Macaca mulatta: one gene and its partners. The protein of the gene in region 3 binds, or shares a complex with, the protein of the main gene of each other region. Links are inferred from orthologs where the notes say so. Each region holds a gene or a part of one and is shown on either strand. Other genes may lie near its edges. The genes, in order: CAPRIN1, ELAVL4 and G3BP1.

What was found.
Region 1: the proteins of G3BP1 (region 3) and CAPRIN1 are in contact, whole or in part, in a crystal structure (PDB 8TH7), measured with the Homo sapiens proteins. The link is inferred for Macaca mulatta from reciprocal best matches to the Homo sapiens genes G3BP1 and CAPRIN1. Residues at the interface, in NP_005745.1 of Homo sapiens: Glu4, Lys5, Pro6, Ser7, Leu10, Val11, Glu14, Phe15, Arg17, Gln18, Thr21, Leu22, Met29, His31, Arg32, Phe33, Tyr34, Gly35, Lys36, Gln58, Lys59, His62, Leu114, Glu117, Asn122, Lys123, Phe124, Tyr125; in NP_005889.3 of Homo sapiens: Met363, Gln365, Met366, Gln367, Gly368, Pro369, Tyr370, Asn371, Phe372, Ile373, Gln374, Asp375, Ser376, Met377, Leu378.
Region 2: G3BP1 (region 3) and ELAVL4 share a complex: the UniProt entries of both Homo sapiens proteins name them as parts of the TAU mRNP complex. The link is inferred for Macaca mulatta from reciprocal best matches to the Homo sapiens genes G3BP1 and ELAVL4.

Annotation. Positions count from the first base shown.
Region 1 is NC_133419.1:31,226,922-31,230,671, forward strand, and holds the start of CAPRIN1 (caprin-1), read right to left. Parts: upstream 2,596-3,750; 5' UTR 2,408-2,595; intron 1,863-2,407; coding exon 1,647-1,862; intron 1-1,646. UniProt on the Homo sapiens protein: mRNA-binding protein that acts as a regulator of mRNAs transport, translation and/or stability, and which is involved in neurogenesis, synaptic plasticity in neurons and cell proliferation and migration in multiple cell types.
Region 2 is NC_133406.1:190,517,016-190,520,665, reverse strand, and holds part of ELAVL4 (ELAV-like protein 4), read left to right. Parts: intron 1-1,339; coding exon 1,340-1,580; intron 1,581-3,650. UniProt on the Homo sapiens protein: RNA-binding protein that is involved in the post-transcriptional regulation of mRNAs. Plays a role in the regulation of mRNA stability, alternative splicing and translation.
Region 3 is NC_133411.1:160,738,382-160,742,031, forward strand, and holds part of G3BP1 (ras GTPase-activating protein-binding protein 1), read left to right. Parts: intron 1-617; coding exon 618-819; intron 820-2,564; coding exon 2,565-2,666; intron 2,667-3,248; coding exon 3,249-3,360; intron 3,361-3,577; coding exon 3,578-3,650. UniProt on the Homo sapiens protein: Protein involved in various processes, such as stress granule formation and innate immunity. Plays an essential role in stress granule formation.

The DNA of each region.
Region 1 (3,750 bases), on a different chromosome or scaffold from region 3:
ATTTATCAAAATAAATGATTGGAAAAAAAAGATAGAAATCCCAAGATTAGAACATCTCTCAATTTCAAATAAAGTCCATGAAATTCAAGTAAAACTCCCAACCTTTAATACTGAAGAGGAGACAGGAAGTATCAAATCTAAATGTTTTAAAACTCTCCCAAAATGTAAAATATATCAGTAAATACGTAAAACTAATAAGACCTAAACATCGCCAGTTTTCTTCAACTTATTTCCCACAGCCCAAGTTTTAGCCAGTTACTATATCAGCACCTAAGTAACGCTATTAGGTATCTGGCTACATAAACACTGCAAAATGATTTCCTGGAAATTCAAGATGTTATAAAAATGTTTTCCTAGAGGCAGACAGTAGAAGTTATCAAACTTTCATTTTACAAGGTAAAATTCAAGTTAACATGATAGTCACAGACGTAATTACCTCGTTTTCACAAACGACTAATTTGTTTCTCCCCTTCCACCTCTGATCTTACTCATTTTAATTATTCACTCTGCCCAGACCTTTTCTCTACATACATACACACGCCCCTCTAAACAGAGTTTACACTGTCCTGCGATGAAAGCATAAAACAAAAGGCTGACTTGCAGATGAAGATATACCTCAGTAGTGTGATCTACAAGGACTAAATATTGAATCCAAAAAATCGTGGGTGTGGCTCGATTTTTCTTTTTAGAGGGGGGCCTAAGGAGGCCAGTCCGGGCGGCTGCCTGGTCTCTGCCCTCCCCCTCTGCTTTCGCTTTGTGCTCACAATGCAGCTCCAGTAAAGCGCTTCCCTCTCCCCGCAGCCGCCGCCATGTTAGACGCTCTCTCCATGTGCCCCGAGTCCCAGCCATCCTCTCCAGTCTCCCCAGGACCCAGCCCCCAACGAATCTAAATCCTGGCAGTCCCCCGCCCCTTCAGAGTCCCCTAGGAACAAAAAGTCGCTGCAGAAAATCATCTCGCGATTGAGCTGAGCGTGAGGCTCGGGGGGACACCTAAACAATTGAAACAAAGAGGGAAACGCAGGGGAGCCCATCGCATGGGGGCGGGGGTAGCAAATCGAAGATCCATTCAAAATGGGCCTGCCGGAAAGGCAGTTCTGCCTTAAGATTCTAAACACACTTCTCTCCCACGGAAGAAAAGGGGACGCTCGACAGGTCTCAAATGCATGGTAACCGAGCGGACAGACCGCAAGGCTACAGGACACAGGCCGCCCCAACTCCACGAGGCGCTTGGTTGAGCCCGGAGCCCCCCGCGCAGGGACCTCTTCATTTTGGGCCCTCGTCAGAGAAATCGGGTCTCGGAGACGGAGAGAAGGGCATCATACAGTGATGTCCTGACGACAGGCCCCCACCCTCACATGTCCCACTCCCAAAGGCCAAAAGCCAGACCCACAGCGGAAGAGTAATGAAGAGGCCTGGGGGACAGTGCCGCGTCCGAGTCAGGTGACAAGTGCCTCCTCCAGGAGCCCGTTTTCTGGGCACGAAGCTCCCGCTGAACGTGGAGACGGGACGTGGGGACCAGGGGGTGGGAGGAGGGGACCTAGTAACGCTCCCGAGACGGAAAGAAGCGCAGACTCCAGCGACCAGGGTCGGAGCGGGCGCAGAGCCCGGCCGCAGCCACCCCTCCCTTCCCCGCCAACTCCTGGCACCTTTTTCTTCTCCAGGTTCCGAAGTTTCTTGTCGATCACCCCGAGAATCTGCTTCATGGCCTCGGTCTGGACAGCGCCGGTGCCGGTTGCGGGGTGCTGAGAAGCCGGCGCGGCGGCCCCGGCTCCTGCGGCAGCCTCACTCCCGGAGGAACCCGACGGCGGAGGCGGTCCGGACGACTTGCTGCCGCTCCCGCTGTGGCTGGTGGCCGAGGGCATCTTCAGACCGCGAGGGGAGAGAAGAAAAAGCGGGAGGAAGGACAAGAGCGGCGAGTCAGGAGACGGACGGGGCGAGACGCGGGACAAAACGCGCAGCGGGCGGGAGCCTACGCGAACGGGTGGGGGAGGGGGCGCGGCGCGCCTCGAGGGCAGGAAGAGTGCGCGGGCGCGCGCGCGACCCGCCAGCGGGGCGCCCGGCCGGGCCTCGCACCGCCCCCCGACCCGCCCCTCCCCCGCGGAGCCGCCGGCTCGGCCTACCAGCCCCGCGGCTCCGAGGCTCGCGCCGGGGGCGGGGCATCGCCGCGCCGGCCGCCAACGGCCAGTGCAACGGTCCCCAGCTGGGAGGGCCGGCTTTCGCCGGCTTCCAGGGAAGGGAGGAAAGAGGCCGCGTCTTGGGGGCAGAGAAGGGCATGGGAAATGGCCGGGGTGGGGTGGGGGGACTTGGGGGCAAGCCCCTCGGAAGCTCCAGCAGGTCCGGAGATAAAGGACACTCGGGCGCAGCGGCCCTCTTCCCCTGCAGCGGCTCGGTCCCGGGTGGCGCTCACCGTGCGCGCGCGGAGGCCGCTGGAGATCACGAGTGGGCAGCTGAGGGGGCAAGGGTGGCAGTGCCTTCCGGGCAGTGTCGCGCGCTCCGTGGGCGCAAGCCGCTTCGCCCTGTCCCGCTTCACCGAGAGCCGCTCCTAGTGAGGCGAGAGCCGGGAGCGGGAGGAACTTAGCCAGCCAGCAGCCCTCTGGGGCGCGGGGGGCGGGAGAAGCGGAGAGCGGGGGCCTTCGCGGCCGCTCGGGCTGCCCGGCGCGAACGCCTGCCTGGAAGAGGCAGCCTGCTAGCCTCTCTGCTGTCCCCTGGCCCCTGCGCTGTGGGGCGCCTCCTGGACGCAGGTGGGGATGGCCCCGCCAAGGCCGAGGGAAAGGCGCCTTGAGTTTTGAGAGCAATCAACGCTAGGGTCCTTCAGGCGAAATCGTTTGACGCCCAAGCGGGGACAATAGGTGTCAAGCAGCTGGGTCTGGAGCTGGCAACTGCCCCTTGAAGAGCCCTTATTTGGTGGGGGTGGGGGTTGGGGGGCAAAGGTTTCTGCAAGTAAGGGGTGCGTGGGGTGGGTGGTGCAATCCCGGCTTCTAGAATTCCTTCTGTATGCAGAGCGAGCAAACTCCATACCCCATAACGTCTTTTGAAAACAAGACAACTCGCCGCTTCCCCACCAAACAATCACCCAGTAACCTAGGAGTTCTCTGTAGAACGTGTCGGACACGGTCATGGTTGGTGGCTTTTTAAATCCTAAAGCTCTGGCCTCAGAGTCTTCAGCTACCCTATGATGTTATCTATCCAGTAGGCCTGAGTATTACGAATTATTAGACTTTTGTTTCCTTTTGTTTCAGGTTTACCTAACACTGTAAAGGGAATGTTCAATGAAATACAAAGAAAACGATTACTTTTTTTTTCCAAGAGAATTATTCCAGCCTTGGAGTGGAATGGGTGTGGACAGTGAGCAGAGAAACAAGAAACCAAGTTCTGGAAGGAAATAAAATGAATATAATCAGTGGAAAATTCAGCAACGCAATATTGTGCGACAACAGTAAATGACCAATTTATAATTTAAATTCTATGAAAAAGAGATTTAGAAGAGAGTTCTACCAAGCCCACTGTTGCCTAGGGAATGAAATGAGTAACGCTGGCTGGCAACAGTGCATCCGGAGGGAGCCTGGAGAAACAACAGCAGCCTCCGACCTCAAGATAGCCTGGTTAGCTGCAAAGTCTGTTATATATTCATTGGAGTATTTATTGTGCACCTTACTGTGTGCTGGGAACTCTTAAGTGCTAGGGATTATGAGCAAAACATATTTACATGGAGCTTACATTCTAAGTAAGGGGAAGACAAGTAAGTATATG
Region 2 (3,650 bases), on a different chromosome or scaffold from region 3:
AGGTCACACAGCTAGTAAGTGGCAGAGCATGATTTCATTTCCAAAGAGTTGATGATCAATTTCTGAGGAGATGGAAGCCATTTTATGATGGACAAATAGAGGATGGTGATAAGACAAAATGGAAAGTTGCAAATTATGGGCTGCGTTTGGGGCCAGGAAACCTGGGTGCAGGCCTGGACTTTGCCCTCATTTTTATATGATATCAGAGAAGTAATTGGACATCTCTGGGCTTCATGTCCAATGTGAGAGTGTTGAGCTAGATTTTGTTCCCTTAAGCGCCTTCCGGCTCTGGAATTTTGCAATTCTCCATGTTTGTCATCCCATACAGGGCATCTTCATGACCTGACTTCATGAGCTTAAACTCATTTTTCTTATAAAACCCTATTCTAGCATCTTCTCAGAACTTTCCCTGAATCTCCCTATCCTGTAAGCAGAAGTAATTGCTTCTGTATTGCATGGTCATTGCCCTACACCAGCTGTTTACCTGTCTTTGTCCTCTATAGGCTATTAGCTCCTTGAAGATAAGGATTCATTCATTTCTTTATTCTCATGCATGCTGCCTAGAACATTCACACCAGCCAGAAATCTTTGTTTAATTAAATATTTTAATCAAGAGAAAGTCCTTTTTGAGTAAGATGTGAGTGGACAGCCTCAGGCGGTGCCGGACCTAAGGAAAACTTTGCCTCCATGTTTTTTGTTTTATTAGAGGTCTGGGAGAAACAATAACAGAATGGCTAGATTAAAAAAAAAAAAAAAGACATTAGAGGACTTTGCAGCTACCTAGCATGTACCTATAAAAATCTAAAGTTTGATCAGTGATTAAGCATCAGTGAAAAATTTAAACCCTTCCCATATTGAACAACCCCACTTAATTTAATGTCATTTTATTTTATGAGATAGTTAATAAACAGGTACTGTATTTGATCTTGTGAGTGTAGCCCTCTATATTTAGCTTTTTCAGCTTTAATGGAACTATAATTTTAATCATGATTATTACTTTACATTTTAATTATAATTTGGTGTGGCTTAAGTATACATTTCTGAGAGTAGTTGTGTAATGAAAACAGGAATTAGCTTTTCATTAACAAAATAATGGGAGAGTTCCTACTGCATTCTAGTCTGTGTTCAAAATCTATGGGCTGGCCTAAAAATAGAAAGGGGAGTTTAACATTTTGGTTAAAAACAGGCTTCTAAATTGGCTGTGTTCACAACCCAGTCTCTTGCTCCATCTTGCTTTATCTTCTCTTTCTTTTCAAAAAAATAAATAAACTTTTAAAAGAGACTTTGGTTGTGTCTGAGATTTCAAAAGGCTTTTTCAATTGTTTTTATTTTTATTTAGATAATTAGCACCATGGAGCCTCAGGTGTCAAATGGTCCGACATCCAATACAAGCAATGGACCCTCCAGCAACAACAGAAACTGTCCTTCTCCCATGCAAACAGGGGCAACCACAGATGACAGCAAAACCAACCTCATCGTCAACTATTTACCCCAGAATATGACCCAAGAAGAATTCAGGAGTCTCTTCGGGAGCATCGGTGAAATAGAATCCTGCAAACTTGTGAGAGACAAAATTACAGGTATGCACAGGATTTGAAGCTATGTTGTTCCATTAGATGTGCAGATCTTAGCAGAAATGCACATGTGTGATGATGCACCTGAGTGTCTATATCATGTACCCTGCTTGCAGGGTGGCACGGATACACAGTCATAAACTTACACCACATACACCACATAAGACCTTATTGTAGATTGGTACTGCTGGGAAGCAGATGAAGATTTTGGCACATCTTCATCTTCATGTAAAATGATCTTTTGATTTTGTCTCCTTTTATTCTCCTCCATTCCCTCCCTTTGTTCTATAGTTTCCAGTCCCACACTCTGCTCTCCCTATACTTTACACTAGTTTTGTTCATGTATTCTTCTCCTCTCAATATTTGCTTCGTGTGTGCCCAATGTTCTTCCAAGTGCCTGAAACAAGTGTTTTAAAAGGGGCCACTGTGGATGTGTGAATGGTTGACACAACTGCCCTTGTCCCTGGGGAGAAACAGGCCCTAAGGATAGCAGATTAATCTGGAATGCAACTACTCTGCAGTAGGAGGGAGATACTTAATGAAGATCTGCATTTGAGGTATTTTGTTTTATGTCATCTGTCTGTTTGTTTTGAAGATGCTCTTTAAGAAGTGAGGGAATTTTTACTTGAAAGTGAATCAACACCCTGTACAACTTCAATACATGAGATTTTTAGGTTCTGATTTTCTCCTAATTGACAACTGTTCGTTGAGAACCAAATGTTTGCCAGACACTGACACTATAATTCTTTGGGGGAAAGTTTCCCTGTAATCTTATTGGCAGTGAGAATATTTTCTTAGAGATATATTAGGCTACATAACGATGGCAGTGAAGCTGCTACTGTGTGATACTCCACTCCTGAAATCATTCATATCCAACTTTGAATACTTGTCAGTTTTGAGTATTGACTTTTGTTTTCTTTCTCTAGACAGTTTAATTAATCAGCAACTGTCCTGTAGTTTTTTTTAAAAAAAAGGAAGCTGTGTCATTAAAATAGGGGTATACATCATCTTTATTTTAAATCAGAGATTACATTCTATATGTGTGCGTGTAATTATATATATTCTTCTGTTCTCATAATTCACATGTAAATTTGTTCCCCTTATAAATTAAGTAGTTTGCAAAATCATAAAACTTAAATACCACTGCCACTTTCCAAAATATAAGTCACTCCAGATATAATTTTCTTATTTGAAAAATTGTAAGATAATGCTTGTCTCAAAGGGCTTATTGTGAGGATTAAATGAGAGACTAGATATATTGCATCTAGCACAGTGTCTATTGCTTAGTGGTGCCTCAGTAAATACATCTATTATTATAAGTACAGCTAGTATGCTTCAAGGAAAGTGGCCAGAACAGAAAAAAATATATCTATCAAGTTCTCCAAATAGGGCCAGGCTTTGATGATCTTGTACCAGAGCACTGGAACATCTATCCTTAAACAGAATTTCCCATACGTTCAGAAAGCCAATATTTAGATTCCTGAATAATCTTTATGTAATAGGATGATAATTCAAACCAAATTAAAACCAGTTAACCATATGATTCTTCCTCCTACTCCTATATAGGAAATGTATTTTTAGTGTAGCCTTACCTTCAAAATACAGAGTCTGCCAGCTATATTAGTGAATATTATTAATCACCTTTTCAGAATTCCTTCAGAACTGTAGTGAGATTTTTGAGAAGTACTGATTCATGGTGTTGTTCCTTGTTTTCTAAAGACACATGTTTAAACAAGCAGATTCCTTTACTGAAAGAATGCTAATTTGGTAGTTCACCGAGTGGATTTGAATAGGAGTGACAGCTTCGAAGACAGCCTTTAATTTGGTATACAAAACCAAAATTGTCAACTTTGGTTTGTTTAGCACCCTCTCCAGCACAAGCAGAGACATACAGTAGCATCTGAGCTTAAAGAAGAAACTTATGGGGTTGAAAGCAGAAATACAATTCAGGCATAAATTTGTAATTATGCATCCTTCTTAAATTCAGGCCCAAAAAATTTTTATTTGTAGAGACCTTATGGGAATGAGGCAGAGAAATATAGAGAGAGACCAGAGATATTTGCCCTCATTTGGTAG
Region 3 (3,650 bases):
AATTGTATTCTGAATCATAACTAATATATTTTCTCCCCCAAATTCTTTACGTATTTGAAAGTTTTTGTGTGTTTGTGTTAAAAGCCACATATCATAAAATTTGCCATCTTAACCTTTTTTTTTATCTTAACCATTTTTAAATATAAAGTATAGTAGTGTTAACTGTATAGATACGGTTGTATGACAGATCTCTAGGACTTTTCACCTTACAAATCTTATTGAAGATAACTTCATATACCTTACAAACAGACTGTACCCATTGAATGGCAACTTTCTTTTCCCCCTCCCCCAGCCTATTTTGAGAGTTTTTCTGATGTTGTATGCTAAATGAATTGTAATGATTGTGGGATTCCAGCCATAAAGTGGTTTGGTTCATTTTGATGTCCTGATTCATTTGCTTATCAGAATTTGCCCAAATGGATTCCAGTGAAGTTATTGAGTGGCATTTTAAAAATTACTTTTTAAAAACTCAGATATACAATTCTTAGCTTTTTTTTTTTTTTTTTTTGAATAGAGGGAGCTAACTCTATGTTCTGGTTTCTGGTTAATAAATGATGGGGAATTTTTTGCGAAATAAATGGTGGCAGAATGATATTTCTCAAATTTTTCCATCAAAGTAATGACATGGAAGAACATTTAGAGGAGCCTGTTGCTGAACCAGAGCCTGATCCTGAACCAGAACCAGAACAAGAACCTGTATCTGAAATCCAAGAGGAAAAGCCTGAGCCAGTATTAGAAGAAACTGCTCCTGAGGATACTCAGAAGAGTTCTTCTCCAGCACCTGCAGACATAGCTCAGACAGTACAGGAAGACTTGAGGGTATGAAACATGTCTTCATTTTTATTCTATTTCTAGTTATTTTTTAAAAAAGAGAAATCTCTGTTCTGTATTGCTGTTCGGTTGACTTTTGTAGATACATTTTCATATTGGTGGTTCATTTCAGGGAAATTTCTTAGATATTGAGCCATGCCTTTGATAAGAGAGAGGTAAGATGTGTATTAGTTTATTTCATCAAAAAAAACCACTCCCTTCCCCTAGGTAACTTGAATGCCTGTTAGACTAGAAAGTTTAGGTGCCACTGTAGCACCGTGTCAGTGATTCCTTATCTTTTTAATATTCAAGCTTTTACACTATAAATTATTACATGCTTGTTACTACAAATTTATAACATCTTTTTAAGGAAAACAACATGGCAGAATATACTTTTTCTATGAAATTTTTTTGAAGATAACTTTATAGTGGAAGTAGGAATGAACTGCTGAAGTAAGATTTCTTTGCTAGTTGGCATACCTGATTTCGGAAGTTTTCAGTTTGTCCTCCTGAGTCTTATTAGGGTGTTGTTAACTGAACTCATGAAACCTTTACATTTGGCACTCTGAGAAGGAATATAATTTTTAGTGCTGTATTGATAGGCTCAGGGTTATGTCATTTGTTTGTTCAACAATTAATTCAAATTCCTGCTGTGTGTTAGGCATTGTTCAAAGTGTAGGTATTGGCAAAACAGATAGGGGTTCTTGCTCTCTGGCAGCTAATAGGTGAGTAGGAAAGAGCAATGTTGAAATGACTTTAGCTTGCAAGTGGAAAAAATTAGCTGGTCATGGTGATGCCTATGTGTGATCCCAGCTGCTTGGGAGGCTGAGGGAGGAGGATTGCTTAGCCTGGGAAGTCAAGGCTGCAGTGAGCTGTGATTATGTCACTGCATTCCAGCTTGGGAGACAGAGTAAGACCTTGTCACAAGAACAAAACAATAAGAAGCAAGTGGGAAAGTAGTTTGACTGGACCAGATGACCACTTAGTTGGTTATTATAGTAAACCTAGTAAGAGAGGATGATGGTTTGAATTAGAGTTGTGGCAGTGGAAATGGAAAAGAAATAATTAGGTAGAATAACAGGTTGTGACAATTTTTAAATGTGTGAGAAAGGTGTTCATGATGATTCTACAGTTGATATAATTGAGTCAATGTTTGTACCATGGATTGGATTGAATGACAGCAGGAAGAGCTGAGCTGATTTTGGAGGAGAGGGAATTTTGTTTGATTCACAAATTTGAATGAAAGTAGCTTTCCTTGGGCCAGGCGTTGTGGCTCACGCATTTAATCCCAGCACTTTGGGAGGCAGAGGCCAGGAGGATTGCTTGAGTTCAGGAGTTAAAGACCAGCCTGGTCAATACAGTGAGACTTCATCTCTGCTAAAAAGAAAAAATAGCTGGATATGGTGGCACATGCCTGTAGTTTCAGCTGCTTGGGAAACAGGTGGGAGGATCACTTGAGCACAGGAGATGGAGGCTGCCGCGAGCTGTGTACATGCCACTGCATTCCAAAAAAAAAAAAAAAGTGAGTAGTTTCTTGAACCTAAGCCTCTCAGATTTGCCTGATCATCAGTCCCAAGGAATTTCAATACTAAATTTTGAATAGCTGGAAGAGAAGAATCTTAATATATGTATAAACTCCATCCTGCCTGTGAGAATGTGTTACCATTTGTTTTGTACAGGAAATCAAGAGTTAGTAGCTTTTATATTGTTTTGATACATGGTATAATTATGTAATGTTGGTATTGCTCCCTTAGACGTTTTCTTGGGCATCTGTGACCAGTAAGAACCTTCCACCCAGTGGAGCTGTTCCAGTTACTGGGATACCACCTCATGTTGTTAAAGTACCAGCTTCACAGGTAAGGTCTTAATAAAACTTGTACATTAGGCAAGTGTACTTATATTTTGGTAATTTGATTCAACAGAGGTTTAGAGAGTGTGAAAACTGGTCAGGTGCAGTGTGGCTCATGCCTGCAATCCCAGCACTTTAGGAGGCTGAAGCCAGCTGATCACTGGAGCCTACCAGTTTGAAACCAATTCAGGCAACATAGTGAGACCCTGTCTCTACAAAAAATAAGAAATTAGCCGGGCCTTGTGGCATGCATTTGTAGTCCTAGTTAATTAGGAAGCTGAGGTGGGAGGATTGCTTGAGTTCAGGAGGTTGAGGCTGCAGTGAGTCATGATTGTGCCACTGGACTGCATCATGGGCAACACAGTGAGACTCTGGCTCAAAAAAAAAAAAAAAAAAAACAACCCAAATCAATGTAGAAACAAAACTGATATATAAGACAGAAGAGAAGGGTATAAGGTGGTTTTTAATGATTTTTCTTGTTAGGGAATTGTCCATTTTCTAGTTTAAAACTTGTTAGCTAAGAAACTTCATTAAGAAAAAGGATAAGCCTGCTTTGTTTTAACACAAAAGTTAACTTAAAATTTTTCAGCCCCGTCCAGAGTCTAAGCCTGAATCTCAGATTCCACCACAGAGACCTCAAAGGGATCAAAGAGTGCGAGAACAGCGAATAAATATTCCTCCCCAAAGGGGACCCAGACCAAGTAAGAGCTCAGAAGGGCGATTTCTCGTTTGGGGGATTTTGAGGTGAGAGCTTATTTTGGGAGGGCAGTTGATATTTATATACTTTAAAATAAAAATATTGTAGGGTTGATGGAATTGCCTGTTTTTACGGTAGAGGGAAAACTATTGAATGTGAGCAGTCACTGAAAGATGTCTTCTTTCTCTTACCTTTAATTGATGTTTTTGTCTCCTTTTAAGTCCGTGAGGCTGGTGAGCAAGGTGACATTGAACCCCGAAGAATGGTGAGACACCCTGACAGTCACCAACTCTT